Pelodiscus sinensis: one gene and its partner. Each later gene encodes a partner of the first gene's protein in a complex. Links are inferred from orthologs where the notes say so. Each region holds a gene or a part of one and is shown on either strand. Other genes may lie near its edges.

Region 1 (7,491 bases):
AGAGCTAATGTGCATTGTCCCACAGAGCTGCCCACAGGAGGTAGGAGTGGAAATGCTGCTGTGGGGGGAAGCAAAACCCCAGATCCCCACCTTCCATGAGAAGGAAGGGGAGACCCCAGGTGCATGAATGGGCTCTAGGGAACAGGTGTGCCCTGAGGCAGAACTCCAACAAGTGTTTCTCCAGCACTGCAGGCTTTTTACATGGTTGCTTGTGAAACTTTCCCAGAAATGGGACAGTAATTCTTCCCTCATCCACCGGCCTTTTCTATGTAACAAAAGCTTCTCCCTGCCCTGTACACCCGATGGAGCTTTTGTGCTTAGGTCACTGGGCTTTGGATCACAGTCCCAGTGAGGAAGGAAATGTGAGTCTTTCCAATAATTTCCATGGGCTTTGGATCAGGCCAGCCCAGCAGCAATGAGGGTCTTTAATATTCTAGTTGCTTCACTTGGGAGTCGGCTGAGAAATCCAAGTTTGTTTCCCTACTTTGGTAAGGTCCAGGATCAGCTCAGCAGTGAAAAGGGGAGGAACACACCAAGGAATTAGTGTCGGAGGCAGCTTTCTGCCCTAGAAAGTGTTTTTCCGTGCAGCTGTGTTTGCAAGCGAGCCCTGGGGACTGAAGCAAGTGGCACCTGCTCCCCCAAAGATCTCCAGATCTTGTTTCTGTTCTCCCACAGCAGAATAGACCTGCCAGTCACTACCCCATTGTCAGGCAGAGCCTGGTGCGCATATGCTTATAAGGGACAAAGAAATAAATTGGCTTTCTCATCCGCAGCAGCTATAAAAGGGCCTCTTTGTATTTCCCTCAAGAAGAGGGTGGGGTGCAAATGGAGGAGTGAAATATTTGAGACAGCACAATTTTATGCGTTGCTCCCTGGTCCTTTAACCATTTGGGGCCAGATACTCTTCAGTACAGTCTAAATTCAGTATTGCTGAAAGTATTGTAAGGGTTGGGGAATAGCTGAGTGTGCAGCATGCACAGCCAAGGGCAGAGCTGAAGGTGTTCATTTCTGTGCCACGCAAATCCTGAGCACCCCAAACTTGAGATCACTTGAAAACATTGGCTGTGGATTTTAAAATAGCCCTGTCCCTTTAAGAAGCTATTAGGTATGTAACTCTGAGAGCGATGAAGTCATGGTGCTGGCCAAGGCGAGTGTAGCAGTCTGGCAGTACGCAGCGTTTCTGCGCACACCCCCGGCCCTTTCCGTCTGGTCTGTCCTTGAGCTGGAATTGCCAATTGCGCAGCAATGTTCATTAGTGAGATGGGTCTGCTCCAGCCCCCACTGAGACCATTAGAGCTGGGCCAGGCCTGGAAATCCAACCCAAGGATTGATTCAAGCTGTCAGAGCATTACCCCGTGGTAACAGCGACGCCTCCCGACAAATGTGCTTTCAGGGCCAGAACACCTTCAGCTCTGCGCTTGGCTGTGCATGCTGCACACTCAGGACTGACAAGCGCAGCCCAGTTGCCAGCATCCAAACTAGCCACCCTTCAGAGCCTCTTCTTTCTGCGGGATAATCCTGGGCACCACTTTTCCTGAGCCAGGCTGCCCGCGCTCCGAGATGGAACTTCTCAGCCAAGCGCTGCTGTCGTGCTTCTTGGAAGGGCAATGGGGCAGAAGACCAGTGAGTTGCGTAAGGGGAGACAGCTAATACTGCTGCCCACTTTCAGTTGAGATCTCTGTACTGGTTGGCTTATTGGCAGTGGTGACCCAAACTAATCCCATGTGATCCTGAAGGCCTTGTCTACATTGCTGCTTTCCTCACTCCCATTAGCTTAGCTCAGAGCCACAGCAGGAGTGCTAGTGTAGACAAGCCATGCCTTACACCACTATGCCATCCAGCCCAGCTCGGAGCCCTTGGAATAATGGGCCCCCAGCACTAGAGATGTGAATTAATTGTGAAGGTGCCAGGAACCATCTGCAACTGAGCATCCCCCACTGGCTCAGCTGCAAACAGCCCTCACATCAGCTGCTGGGAAACCCCTTCCCTCTTCCCTTCTGAGGAAGACTTAGCTTACCTGAAGGCTACATCTAGATCCCTTATTTTAAGAGAGATAAGGGATCTTTCAGAAAAGGCTTTATTTTCCGAAAGATCCGCGTCTAGACTGGTGCTTTTTTCCGGCAAAGCTCCGTGCAGAAAAAGGGATGCAATCTCGACGTAGCCGAAAGGTCTACACGAGGGCAACCAATATAATGGAAGAAAGGACAAAGCAGGAAACCTGTTTAGGACTTTAAACCTTGTGCATTGATGCATGGCCTGGCCTGTGGAAGAGAGAAAGTATCTACTAAGATTGACTAGCTATGACCATGGAAAATATATAGTTATGTTTTTCACTGCTGGCTGCTCTTTCCTTCACTTGCATCCTAGACTTAAGTGAATATAAATATCCTTGAAAAATCAGGCAGTGGCTTCCTGCCAAATGCTGTTGGCTATCAAAATCCCACTTACTAAAAGCATGCAGATATCCTGGCCAGAGCTTCCAGATCATAGATGGCACTACATTTTACAATTCCATTACTGGATACAAGATCAATTGGTGGACCAGACTGCGTTATCTCAGCTGCTATTAAAAGAATGCCTAGACTTATTGGCTGCGTCTAGACTGGCATGATTTTGCAGAAATGCTTTTAACGGAAAAGTTTTTCCGTTAAAAGTATTTCCACAAAAGAGCGTCTAGATTGGCACGGATGCTTTTGCGCAAAAGCATCCATGCCCAGTATAGACGCGCTTTTGTGCAAGAAAGCTCCGATGGCCATTTTAGCCATCGGGCTTTCTTGCGCAAAAAACTAAGATGCTTGTGTACACTGGCCCTCTTGCACAAGTATTCTTGTGCAAGAGGGCTTATCCCTGAGCAGGAGTGTCAAAGTATTTGCGCAAGAAGCACTGAATTCTTACATTAGAATGTCAGTGCTCTTGCGCAAATTCTTGTGACCAGTGTAGACAGGTGGCAAATTTTTGCGCAAAAGCAAGTGCTTTTGCACAAAATCTTGCCAGTCTAGACACACCCATTGGCTGTGTCTAGACTGGCCGCTTGAATTTCCGCAAGAACACTGACTTCCTACTGTCTGAAATCAGTGCTTCTTGCGGAAATACTATGCCGCTCCCATTCGGGAAAAAGTCCTTTTGCGCAAAAGGGCCAGTATAGACAGCTCAGATTTGTTTTGCGCAAAAAAGCCCCAATCGCGAAAATGGCAGTCGGGGCTTTTTTGCGCAAAAGCGTGTCTAGATTGGCACAGCCGCTTTTCTGCAAAAAGTGCTTTTGCGGAAAAGCGTCTATGCCAATCTCGATGCTCTTTTCCACAAATGCTTTTAACGGAAAACTTTTCCGTTAAAAGCATTTGCAGAAAATCATGCCAGTCTAGACGTAGCCGTTAACTACTCTCCCCAAATCAGGTTCCCCATCCCACATGGCAGATATTAGTCTCATGGCTGACTGTGCTTTGGAAGATGCTCCGGTCCTACAGGAATGAGGGCAGGATACGAACCTTTATAAAATAGATTAAAATCTGTATCTGGGGACAGAACAGATTTTTTTACCCTGTGTCTCATCTATTTAAACTGTAAACTTGTCAGGGCCTGTCTCTGACAATGTACCTGGGGCGAGTAGAATGGGGTCTTGAGCTCAGATTAAATTCTCTTAGACTCAGGCCAGTGCGGCCACATGAGAACTTGGACAGCTCTGGATTTAATTGTCACTCTGGAATTAGGCATGAACTCCAGGTCTCTGCTCTGGGGAACGCAGGAATTCTCTAAGGGCCATCTAGTCTGGTATTCCCTCTGTCAGGGGTAGGGGAGGTTACCTATTCAAATGGAGGGGGAACTCACCCACTTTCACCTCGCCGCTGTTTCCAATTAACCACACGGTGACATGTCCCCCTGCCAAATGTTTGACTGTGTCATCTTTGCCCCCTGCATTTCTCATTTGTCTTCCCTTCCCTTGCAGAATAGCGGAGCGGCTGCGAACATCCCTCTGGAACACATTCGTGAGCCATCCCTCTGAAATACGCTTGCTCCTTTCCTGTCCCCGTGCCACTTCTCTCGCCCGCTTCCCTTCATTTCCTCACACACACACAAACCATTTTTGCTTCTCTGCCCCCTCTCCTGGCTTCTCCTTCGGAATGGCCTGCTTCGCTCCCCAGGACAGATTCTGACAGCAGAGAGGGCAACAGCTTCCCTGTTTACGCACAGGCCCCGAGCTAGCAAGGGACCTGCCCTCTGAGCCGGCCTGGCCATAGGATGAAATGGGGCAGCTGCCTGTAGGCCCCACGCTTTTGGGGACCCCTCAGTGCCCCCCCCCAGCTGTCCTATGGTCGGAAGGGACCTGGGGATCACGGGGCGTGGTGCAGGTGGCAGCAGGGGTCGCCGCCCCCCCCCATGCACGCGTCACCACACTGGCAGCAGGCGCCTGCCCCATGCTGCCCTGTCCTGGCCCTCTGTGCTCTGTGTCTCCTTGGCACTGAGGGGGGTGGGACACAAGCCGGGGAGCCAAGCCGCTTGCCCCCGGCCAAAGCCTCTCTCTTACCAGCCCCCGGTCTGCCACACCATTAGCACAGGGCCCAGCTACGCTGAGTGGGGGTCGAGACACCGTGTCCCCCGCAACTGCCAGGAGAATGGGGGTGGAAAGCAAATGAGCTGGGGCTGCACAGGGCAGGGGACTGTCACAGGATGGGGGGCGCGATAGGAAAGGGACTTGGCCCCTCCCCCACAACTAATTAGCTGCCTCCTGTGGTGGTGTGTCAGGTACCCCCCAGTCCTGCACCCCGGTCCGCAGCAAGATGTGACTCCGCCAGCCAGTAGAACAGGAGGGTTTATTGCTTCTCCAGGACACAGGACAGACATGATGTGGCTACAGGAGTTGGGGCCAGGCAGCCTCAGTCCCCTTGGGGTAGGGGTCCAGCCCCCCCCAGCCCCCAGTACTCAGCTTAGTCTCCGCTCTTCCTGTTTTCCCAGCCGAGCCACACCCTTCCTTTGTTCAGACCCCGTCCCTGGACAGGTGAGACCCGGTTGGGCCACGGACTACGTGACGTGCGATTCCTCAGGGCGACCCCCCGCTGGGCAGTGCTACAGACACAGGCCAGGAAGGGTCACTCACAGCCCACAGCGACCAGAGACAGCCCAACCAGAGTGGGCCCAGGGCCACCAGAGTCAACAGCCCCCCACTACGTCACAGCTCCCATGAGGTGGGTTTGACAGCAGGGGCCGGGGGAGGGTGGTAGCTGCAGGGCACCATGGCCTCTGTAAAAAGCCAGCGGCAGCGCCAACAGCTAAAGCAAGACTCCTACAGGGAGTGGGGTGGGGCTGGAATGGGGGCCCCCAGTCCCCTAGTGAGTACCTGGCTGGGGACACCTGTTGGATGAGGGCAGGACTGTGCGGGGCAGTGGGGGGAGGCACCAGGGCCTGTTGCATGGATTTGATTTGTGTTGGGCAGAGTTGGAAAAAACTGAGGTAAGAGCCTGAAATCCTGCTGTGGGGAGCTTTACAGAGGCAGCAGCACAGGGTGGGGTGGGGAGTAAATCTCAGAGGGTTAGCAGCGTGAGTCTGTAGCTGTGCAAACAATGAAGTCCAGAGTTATTTGGGCATAAGTTTTTAAGGGTCAAAACCATTCCTCAGATGAATGGAGGGGTTTTACATGTGACTTTTCTTACTCCATTGCACTGATTAAGAATGCAATCAAGTCCCTGTAAAATTACGCAAATATTGATTCAGCAGCACTGAGAGAGCAGCATCGCAGACTTTCAGGATCAATACTACCTTGATTTAGACTCAGCTCATTTTCAAGATGCAGCTTTGCTAGGCACAAAAAGCCAACTGAAGCCCGTGAAAATCAGCTTTGTTCTGCATGTAATCTGTGTTTGTCAACTTCCACTCCCCTTTGCATATCCAGCAATAGCAAGAAGGGGAAGGTCATGTGTGGGGTTTGTGCTTGGTTGCTGGTATTTCCCTGATGTCCCACCCAAGCTGCCATGTTTACAGTACAACACCCACTTTGGTGCATTGCAGCAAGTTTGCTCTGGCAGGTGTCATTCTCCAGTGGCATCCACGCGATAGGCACTCTTACAAGAAACAGCCCTGCGCTGGAATGACTATTTAGAGGGACTTTTGCATAGCACCACGTGTTATACAAAACATTATTTGATGGTTGGTTATTGCAAACACAGCAACTGCCAAGTGACTCAGCAAGCTGGCCTGAAGCCCGCTGGGGTTCGACCTCAGATATCCGCACAAAGACAAATTGGATAATGCGCCTGTTCTGCATTCCGTGGGCGTCTGTGCATATGCAGACTAGTTGTCCACTGTCATATCCCAGTATTAGGGTTGCCAGTTGTCCAGTATTCACCCGGACAGTCCAGTATTTTCACCTCTTGTCCGGTAAAGAAAATTCAGAAAATACCAGACCCCCAAGATGTCCGGTATTTTCTGATTTTTTTTCCTGGCCAGGCAGTGAAAATTCCGGTGTGACGTAGTGTTGGTATCTTGCTGGTTGCTAGGCTTGGGCTCTGGGTGACCTCCGCTGGCAGCTGTTTGTAGCACAGCCCAGCAGGACAGGGGATGAGTCATTATGCAAGGGGCTCCCAACCTGTCCGACCAGTTACCTCCCAGGGAGAGAAACGAAGGAAGGAGGGGAGGCCAGCCCCTGGCTGGGGGGCAGGGCTGGAAGGGATGTTTTTAGTTTCTGTCTGGTATCATGGAGGAAGCAGCCTAAACAACAGGCTGGGATCTAGGGACCCAGTCTCCCCCATCTCAAGGGGGGCTGAGGCATCCTAGGCCTGCCCTGTATCCGGATTACATCTTTGCTGTGCTGTATCCTAGAGAATCAATAAACTCCCTCTAGTCTACTGGCTGGTGGAGTCTGTTCGTGCCACTACGGGGGTGCAGGAGGCGGGGGATCCCCGACGCACCGCCACAGCCGGGCATCTGGCAACCCTACAAACACTCAGCACCCAGCCTCTCCCAGCCCCATGTTTACCTGGTTTCGCAAGACTGCCGGCACAAAATGGCTGCCAGCAAAAAGACCAAGGGGAAGCAATGATTCCCCTGGGTCTTAGTGCTCAACCCCTCCCCTGTTCCTAGCTCTGCACTCACTCTTAAAGGACAAGCTGTCTTAATGCTGTTTTATTTTATATATATAGAGAGAGAGATAGAGAGAGAGATTAATAAGTCTTGGACTCCTTTTTTTTCCTACCCCTCTTTTTGTTTTCCTTCAACAGAATTTTTTCCTGGTGTTTTTTTTTGGGGGTGGGGGGGAAGGGAGAGGAGCAAGTGTTTGGTATTTTTGTTTCAACCATCTGGCAACCCTACCCAGTATGCGTCTCTGGGTGGTGAGTACTAGCACTAAGCAGGGGATTCAGTTCTTTTTCTGAAGAAGCAGAAGATAGTTTTAGCAGCTGTGTTTGAATAAAAAAAGCTGTTGCCCACTCCAGGCTTTGCATGAGGTTCTATAGGGTCCCCCTTCTGACTCTGGGCCATCGAGCACCTGTGCCTCTGAACCTA
Region 2 (7,150 bases), on another chromosome or scaffold:
CCAATATTGCAGGGGATCACAAGGCTGGAGTACCGACATGGGCTCCCTACTGCAGGGGAAGTTGGGGGGGAGGGGAGGAAGGGCCTGAGCTCGAGCTGCAAAAAAAGCTATATTTGGCTTCTTACTGAGCCATAGGTTGCCGATCCATTTTAAACCTCTCTGGCCATTCTATAATGGATTTTAAAGAAGCCATTTTTCTATAAAGGAATTTCACCACTCAATTACAGAGAGAGAGTGCTGAGCTGGAGTTCATTTGCATGTTGGATACTGTCTCCCTGGTCTTTAACAAATATATTAACTGGTTAATGCACTACAAAGCCAATTTCCTATGCCTTTGACATTTGCATTTCACATCAATAGCCATGAATGGGACACATACAGCCTACTTAATTAGCTTCAATAACAAGGGTGCTATAATTGACAGGTAATGGACAATTGTTTTTGATATTATATATATTTTGGATTCTGTATTTTCACTCCAACTCATCTGATGAAGTGAGTTTTACCCACAAAAGTTCATGATCTTATACCTTTGGTATCCTTTCAGGTGCCACAGGACTACTCATTTTTCAAATGGACTAACACAGCTACCCCTTCGACTTCTTACAGCACTGAGGTGCATGTGTTATATATTTCACAAGCCCAGAATGTATTATTGGGCAAGGAGGAGAGAGTCAAGGATTTGTACATTTTGGATGGAGAAACAGAATTGCAAGAAGAGACCTCAGAACTTCATTAGATTGGTGATAGAAGAACCTAGACTCAATTAGGTGGAGGGAGAGTCAATTGATTTGGGGAGGGGAGGGGGGGCAGAAACTTATTTACTGTAGCAGAGTGAAGATATGGCAATGCAGTGACAAGTAGCCATAAGTACTTCTCAGCCAGATAAGTAAATGTTGTTTCCAAGTTTATCCTATCCAATTTATTTCCCTATTTTTAAAGTAACTTTTCCATACAAGGCTTGGATGGGACTAGTCAACTACAAATTTGTATCTGTTAGCCTTTACGGTTGCTAATTTTACTATTTCTGCTGCTTTTAACACCACACACACAATGTACTCAATAAATTAAAGGGAAAAACTACAGCCGTAAATGTCTCTGCCCTTAGGAGCTATGAACCACTCTATGCTCTGGTGCTAAATTACTATATGAGGAATGTAATAGCATAATCTATTAACTGATATGCAAAAACTTATAGGTTAATGGTATTGACTATATACATTTCCTTCACCACCCTACCCCCTCCCCAGCCAGTACATTTTTAGTAGACTTACCCTGCTGCAGCTCTGCATTTAAATTATATTAGGAGCTGCACAGGCAGGCAGCCTGGCTCAGTCCTGGCTCCCACTGGGTCCTGGACCTACCCCCGCTATGGCTCTACATTTGAAGTGTACTAGGAGCCACATGGGCAGACAGTCAAGCTCAGTTTCGCCTCTTTACCAGAGTCAACAACACTGGGCAACAAGCAGCCAGTCCACAAGGGGAGCTTGGTTGTTCAGGAGTGAGGCCAGAGTGCATTGGCTACCAGCCCCACCCCCAGACACTATAGAATAGTCAACTAACCGATAAGAATTCATGGGGTTACTTGACTATTCAATTAACCAATATTTAACGTCCCTATACTATACCTTTCACTGCTCTCAGTGACTTCATTTACCCATCTCCTTCTAAAATCCACTGCTAGCAGGCCTGATATGTAGGAAGGCTCCCACATTACAATTAACATTACAGAAGGCATTTTCTGTCTTCTCTTTAATTTCAAGGAAATGTAAGATCTCTCTCAATTCCTTAAAATCGCCCACACTTTTGAGTTGCCTTTACAGCTTCATCAGCCTTAAAACTGTATTTATTAGAGATGAGCAATAGGAGTTACATAAGGACATGAGAGCTATACACCACCATGATGTTGGCATATCTCCACATCCTGATTCTGAAGCCTCCTTTTCCATCTGCAACTGCAATGTGCCTTGGTCCAAGAGAAGGAGGACAGACTGAAAAGAGTAGCTTTAACACTCGGGTTTTACAAGATGCCCTTCCCTTATGCATCATCATTTTAGGAAGCTATTTTCAAACCACAGAGGCCAAGTGAGCAAAGAAAGATTTCACATAGCCAAGGGAAAAATTATAAACATCTCGCTGATCCAAAACACTGAGTCTCCTGGAAATGTATTTGCTCTGCCCTTACAATTCACCTCTAAGGATGGGATCTGAAGTCCCCTCCCACGCTCGCCTATCAATGGGGTGGGGGGAGGTGATTCACACAGAGGCTCACTCCTCCAACCTGCAAGAACTCTCCCTTCACTGTATCCCCGGAAGTAAGAGGAGCTCCTACAGACGCCGCCCCCAGGCTCTTTGCAATGGGGGCCGGGAGGAAGACATTGAACTCGGCCCTTACGAGCTATGCCTCCGAGGAGGTCTGGAGACAAGGGAGCGGCCCGAGCGGGCGAGGGGAAGGGCCCGTCTCCGAGACGCCACCCGGCTCGCTCTCTCCGCACCCCCGATCAAGAGGCAGCAGCCGCCCCAGGGCGAGGACCGGGCGAGCCCCGGAAAAGGCGGGGGGAGGAGGAAGGAAAGTGGCAGCGCCTGAGGCCGAGCTCTTTGGGCCGGCCGGGCGGCCTCACGCATCGGACACCGGATCCTGCCCCCAGCCCGGCGCCTGGGGCCTATTTTCAGCCCTCGGACCGTACAAGGCGCGTCGGGAGCTGCCCCTGGGCCGGCCCCGCTGCCGGCAGACTCTGACTGACAGCGCCGGGAAAGGAAGAAGCTAAAAATACAAACGCCGCCGCCTGAGGCAGCGAGGCCCCATCCCGGTCGCTAAGCCCGCCGGGGGCTCCAGCTGCCCCGGCCCGCGGTACCTTCTCCTCATCCGAAAGCTGCTCCTCCAGGTCCGCCATCTTCCGCCCCGCCATGAACAGCCGCCGAGCAGGCTCCTCCCTCCGGCAGGAAAGGCGGGGCCCTCTCACGTGTCTCCCGGCGCCTTCCCCGCGCGGCTCGAGAGGGCGGGACCGCGGCTTGGCCAACGGCCATTGCACGTACGCGCGTGCGCGCAGCGAGGGGCGGGCAGAGCGGAGAGGGAGTCGCATTCGCCGGGGCTCGCGCAGCGCCCGCAGATTGAGGCGAGCTGGGTCCCCGGGGGAGGGTCAGAAACCAGGCGGGTAGATTTCGCGCGGGAGGGGGCGGTCAACGTGTTTCGCCTCAGCTCCCTTGTGCGTGAGCGGGGCCGGCGGTGATGACCCGGATACAGCCGATTTCCGGCCTCTCGCCATTGAGCATCCTCCCAGCACCGCTCCCTGTTGGTCTGTAATGGAAAAAACCAAGGACCAGTCCTGCAGCACCTCAGAGACTAGCACAAATGTAGATGGAATCATGAGCTTTCAAGGGCACAACCCGCTTCTGTAGCTGACTGTGATACATGTGAAGGGAAGCGCCACACTGGGTCAGATATAAGGGCTATACTGTATTTGAGCCCTGGGAGGACAGGTCAAATTGACAGATATCCCACATGGAGAAGCAATTGTTTTTACATTTATTCTTATTTAAATAACATGTTGACTGTCACACGCTTCCACCATCCATAGGCATGGGATTAATAGCACCTGCAGAGAAAATACAAAACTGTGCTCGAGGTTTCAAATATACCCTGACACAAACATTCAGTTGTTACAAGGGGTTAAGACCCAATAGGTGTGCCTCACCCCCACAGCAATGATGGCCCCTGTCTCCAGGTAATAGCCTCAGGACTTCACCGAGAAGTCTGTAGGAATGCCTAACATAATGAATGCTAGTGGGAAGGGGGTAGTTTTAGAAGGTAAAATAAAAAAAGAACAAGTTAAAAATCACCTAGAAAAGTTAGATGCCTGCAAGTCACCAGGGCCTGATGAAATGCATCCTAGAATACTCAAGGAGCTGATAGAGGAGGTATCTGAGCCTCCTGTTGTCATCTTTGGAAAATCATGGGAGACAGGAGAGATTCCAGAGGACTGGAAAAGGGCAAATATTGTGCCCATCTATAAAAAGGGAAATAAGAACAACCCAGGAAACTATAGACCAGTTAGTTTAACTTCTGTGCCAGGGAAGATAATGGAGCAAGTAATTAAGGAAATCATCTGTAAACACTTGGGCTACGTCTAGACTGGCATGATTTTCCAGAAATGCTTTTAACGGAAAAGTTTTCCGTTAAAAGCATTTTTGGAAAAGAGCGTCTAGATTGGCAACGGAAGCTTTTCTGCAAAAGCACTTTTTGCAGAAAAGCATCCATGGCCAATCTTGATGTGCTTTTCCGCAAAAAAGCCCCGATCACCATTTTCGCGATTGGGTTTTTTTGCGGAAAACAAATCTCAGCTGTCTACACTGGCACTTTTGCGCAAAACATTTGCCCGAACGGGAGCAGCATAGTATTTCCGCAAAAAGCACTGATTTCTTACAGTAGGAAGTCAGTGCTTTTGCGGAAATTCAAGCGGCCAGTGTAGACAGCTGGCAAGTTTTTCCGGAAATGGCTGATTTTCCAGAAAAGCTTGCCAGTCTAGACACAGCCTTGGAAAGTGGCAAGGTGATAGGGGTCAGCCAGCATGGATTTGTAAAGAACAAATCATGTCAAACCAATCGGATAGCTTTCTTTAATAAGATAATGAGTCTTGTGGATAAGGGAGAAGCGGTAGATGTGGTATACGTAGACTTTAATAAAGTGTTTGATACAGTCTCACATGATAGTCTTATCAATAAACTTAGTAAATACAACTTAGATGGGGCTACTATAAGGTGGGTGCATAACTGGCTGAATAACCATACTCAGAGAGTAGATATTAATGGTCCACAATCCTGCTGGAAAGGCATGACAAGTGGGGTTCGTCAGGGGTCTGTTTTGGGACCGGCTCTGTTCAATATCTTCATCAATGATTTAGATATTGGTATAGAAAGTACGCTTATTAAGTTTGCGGATGATACCAAGCTGGGAGGGGTTGCGACTAATCTGGAGGACAATTTAAAAAGACCAGGACAAATTGGAGAAATGGTCTGAGGTAAACAGGATGATGTTTAATAAAGACAAATGCAAAGTGCTCCACTTAGGAAGGAACAATCAGTTTCATACGTACAGAATGGGAAGCGACTGTCTGGGAAAGAGTATGGCAGAAAGGGTTCCTGGGGGTCATAGTGGACCACAAGCTGAATATGAGTCAGCAGTGCAATGCTGTTGCAAAGAAAGCAAACATGATTCTGGGATGCATTCACAGGTGTGTTGTGAGCAAGACACAAGAAGTCATTCTTCCGCTCTACTCTGCGCTGGTTAGGCCTCAATTGGGTCCAGAGAAGAGCAACAAGAATGATTAAAGGTCTAGAGAACATGACCTATGAGGGAAGGCTGAAGGAATTGGGTTTGTTTAGTTTAGAAAAGAGAAGATTGAGGGGGGGACATGATAGCAGTTTTCAGGTATCTAAAAGGGTGTCATAAGGAGGAGGGAGAAAACTTGTTCATCTTGGCCTCTGGGGATAGGACAAGAAGCAATGGGCTTAATCTGCAGCAAGGGAGGTGTAGGTTGGACATTAGGAAAAAGTTCCTAACTGTCAGGGTGGTCAGACACTGGAATAAATTGCCCAGGGAGATTGTGGAATCTCCATCTGTAGAGATATTTAAGAGTAGGTTAGATAAATGTCTATCAGGGATGGTCTAGACAGTATTTGGTCCTGCCATGAGGGCAGGGGACTGGACTCGATGACCTCTCAAGGTCCCTTCCAGTCCTAGTATTCTATGATTCTATGTGTTTTCTCCCATTATTGCCCCTGTGTGTGCTTTAGGAACAAGGACCATCCCCTCCCTCCCCCCACGCACACACCCACACACCTGTGGTTTATCTGTTATTTATGTTTCATACCACTTTGGGTAACTGCCTATTCTTTACGGAAAAGTGATGCAGTCTAGACACAGCCAAAGGGTTTTCCTTTTCCAAAACAAAATCAAATGCATTATACATTGTTACAGGGTTACTTTAGAAACATTAAATTTATTCCAGGACTAAACAATAGCATTAGCATAAATTTTCTTATAACACTTTTCCTTCTAGCATATTGTAATAATTGCTCAAGTCCTTCCAGACTCCTCAGAGTTAACTTTTCACTATTTTTCCCTTAATCACTTGCTTTGTCTTTCAAATGAAAACTTAATTAGTTTAGAGATCACCATTCCAAGTAATTTTCCAAGAATTAATATCTCCAGTGCCTGTACTTACACTCACACCCTTATTCCTGCTACTGTGCCCTCAGGCTATGTCTATATTGGCAAGATTTTGCGCAAATACTCTTTAACGCAAGAGCTTTTGTGTTACAGTATTTGAGTAAGAGAGCGTCTACACTAGCATGTGCTTTTGCGCAAAAGCATTCATGCCAGTGTAGACGCTCTCTTGCGGAAGACAGCTCCGATGGCCATTTTAGCCATCGGGCTTTCTTGCGCAATGAAGTAATGTTGCCTGTCTACACTGGCCTCTTGCACAAGAACAGTTGCGCAATAGGGCTTATCCCTGAGCGGGAGCGTCAGAGTATTCGTGCAAGAAGCACTGATTTTATACATTAGAATGTCAGTGTTCTTGCGCAAGTACTCACGGCCAGTGTAGACAAGCAGCATGTTTTTGCGCAAAAGCAGGTGCTTTTGCGCAAAATCATGCCAATGTAGACACAGCCTCAGCGTTCTGATCCTCTTTCCCACTCTCACTTGCTTGTTTGCTTTCTTATCTGTCTGGGCCTGATCCTGCTTTCTCTGCTGAATGACCCCTTTCCACAGACACAGGTTTTGTCCCTTACTAATTTAGCAAGAAGGGTGGGCTCTTTAACTAGCCCCCAAACCTTCTGGTTCCTTTTCTTGGGTAAATCCAAATGTTCATTTCTGCAGTCAGCTATTTTTTTTTTAATTCCTCATTACAGGCTTTTCGTAACAGCCAGACTGCAGCAGTATCTCTTTTGATTGAGATTAAGGGTTTGTAAACCAGTAAATGTTTCGCCAATTTGTTTTTAAGATCTTCATGGTGTGAGATAAGCTAAGGCATTGTCAGACCATGGACTATGACTAAACTTTTGCAATATTTGCTTCAAAGATATACTTTACCTCTTCTCTTCATGAGGGGTTTCTTTCTGAATTTTTGCTCCAATGTGCCCAGTTTGT

The links. Proteins that work in one complex are often made in the same cells at the same time.
Region 2: the proteins of S100B (region 1) and CAPZA2 are in contact, whole or in part, in a crystal structure (PDB 3RM1), measured with the Bos taurus proteins. The link is inferred for Pelodiscus sinensis from reciprocal best matches to the Homo sapiens genes S100B and CAPZA2. Residues at the interface, in NP_001029727.1 of Bos taurus: Ile37, His43, Phe44, Leu45, Glu46, Ile48, Lys56, Val57, Thr60, Phe77, Met80, Ile81, Ala84, Cys85, Phe88; in NP_001013016.1 of Bos taurus: Thr267, Lys268, Ile269, Trp271, Ile274, Leu275.

The regions. Positions count from the first base shown.
Region 1 is NC_134717.1:65,124,381-65,131,871, reverse strand, and holds the start of S100B (protein S100-B), read left to right. Parts: upstream 1-4,472; 5' UTR 4,473-5,180; intron 5,181-7,491. UniProt on the Homo sapiens protein: Small zinc- and- and calcium-binding protein that is highly expressed in astrocytes and constitutes one of the most abundant soluble proteins in brain.
Region 2 is NC_134711.1:45,678,738-45,685,887, forward strand, and holds the start of CAPZA2 (F-actin-capping protein subunit alpha-2), read right to left. Parts: upstream 3,005-7,150; 5' UTR 2,910-3,004; coding exon 2,856-2,909; intron 1-2,855. UniProt on the Homo sapiens protein: F-actin-capping proteins bind in a Ca(2+)-independent manner to the fast growing ends of actin filaments (barbed end) thereby blocking the exchange of subunits at these ends.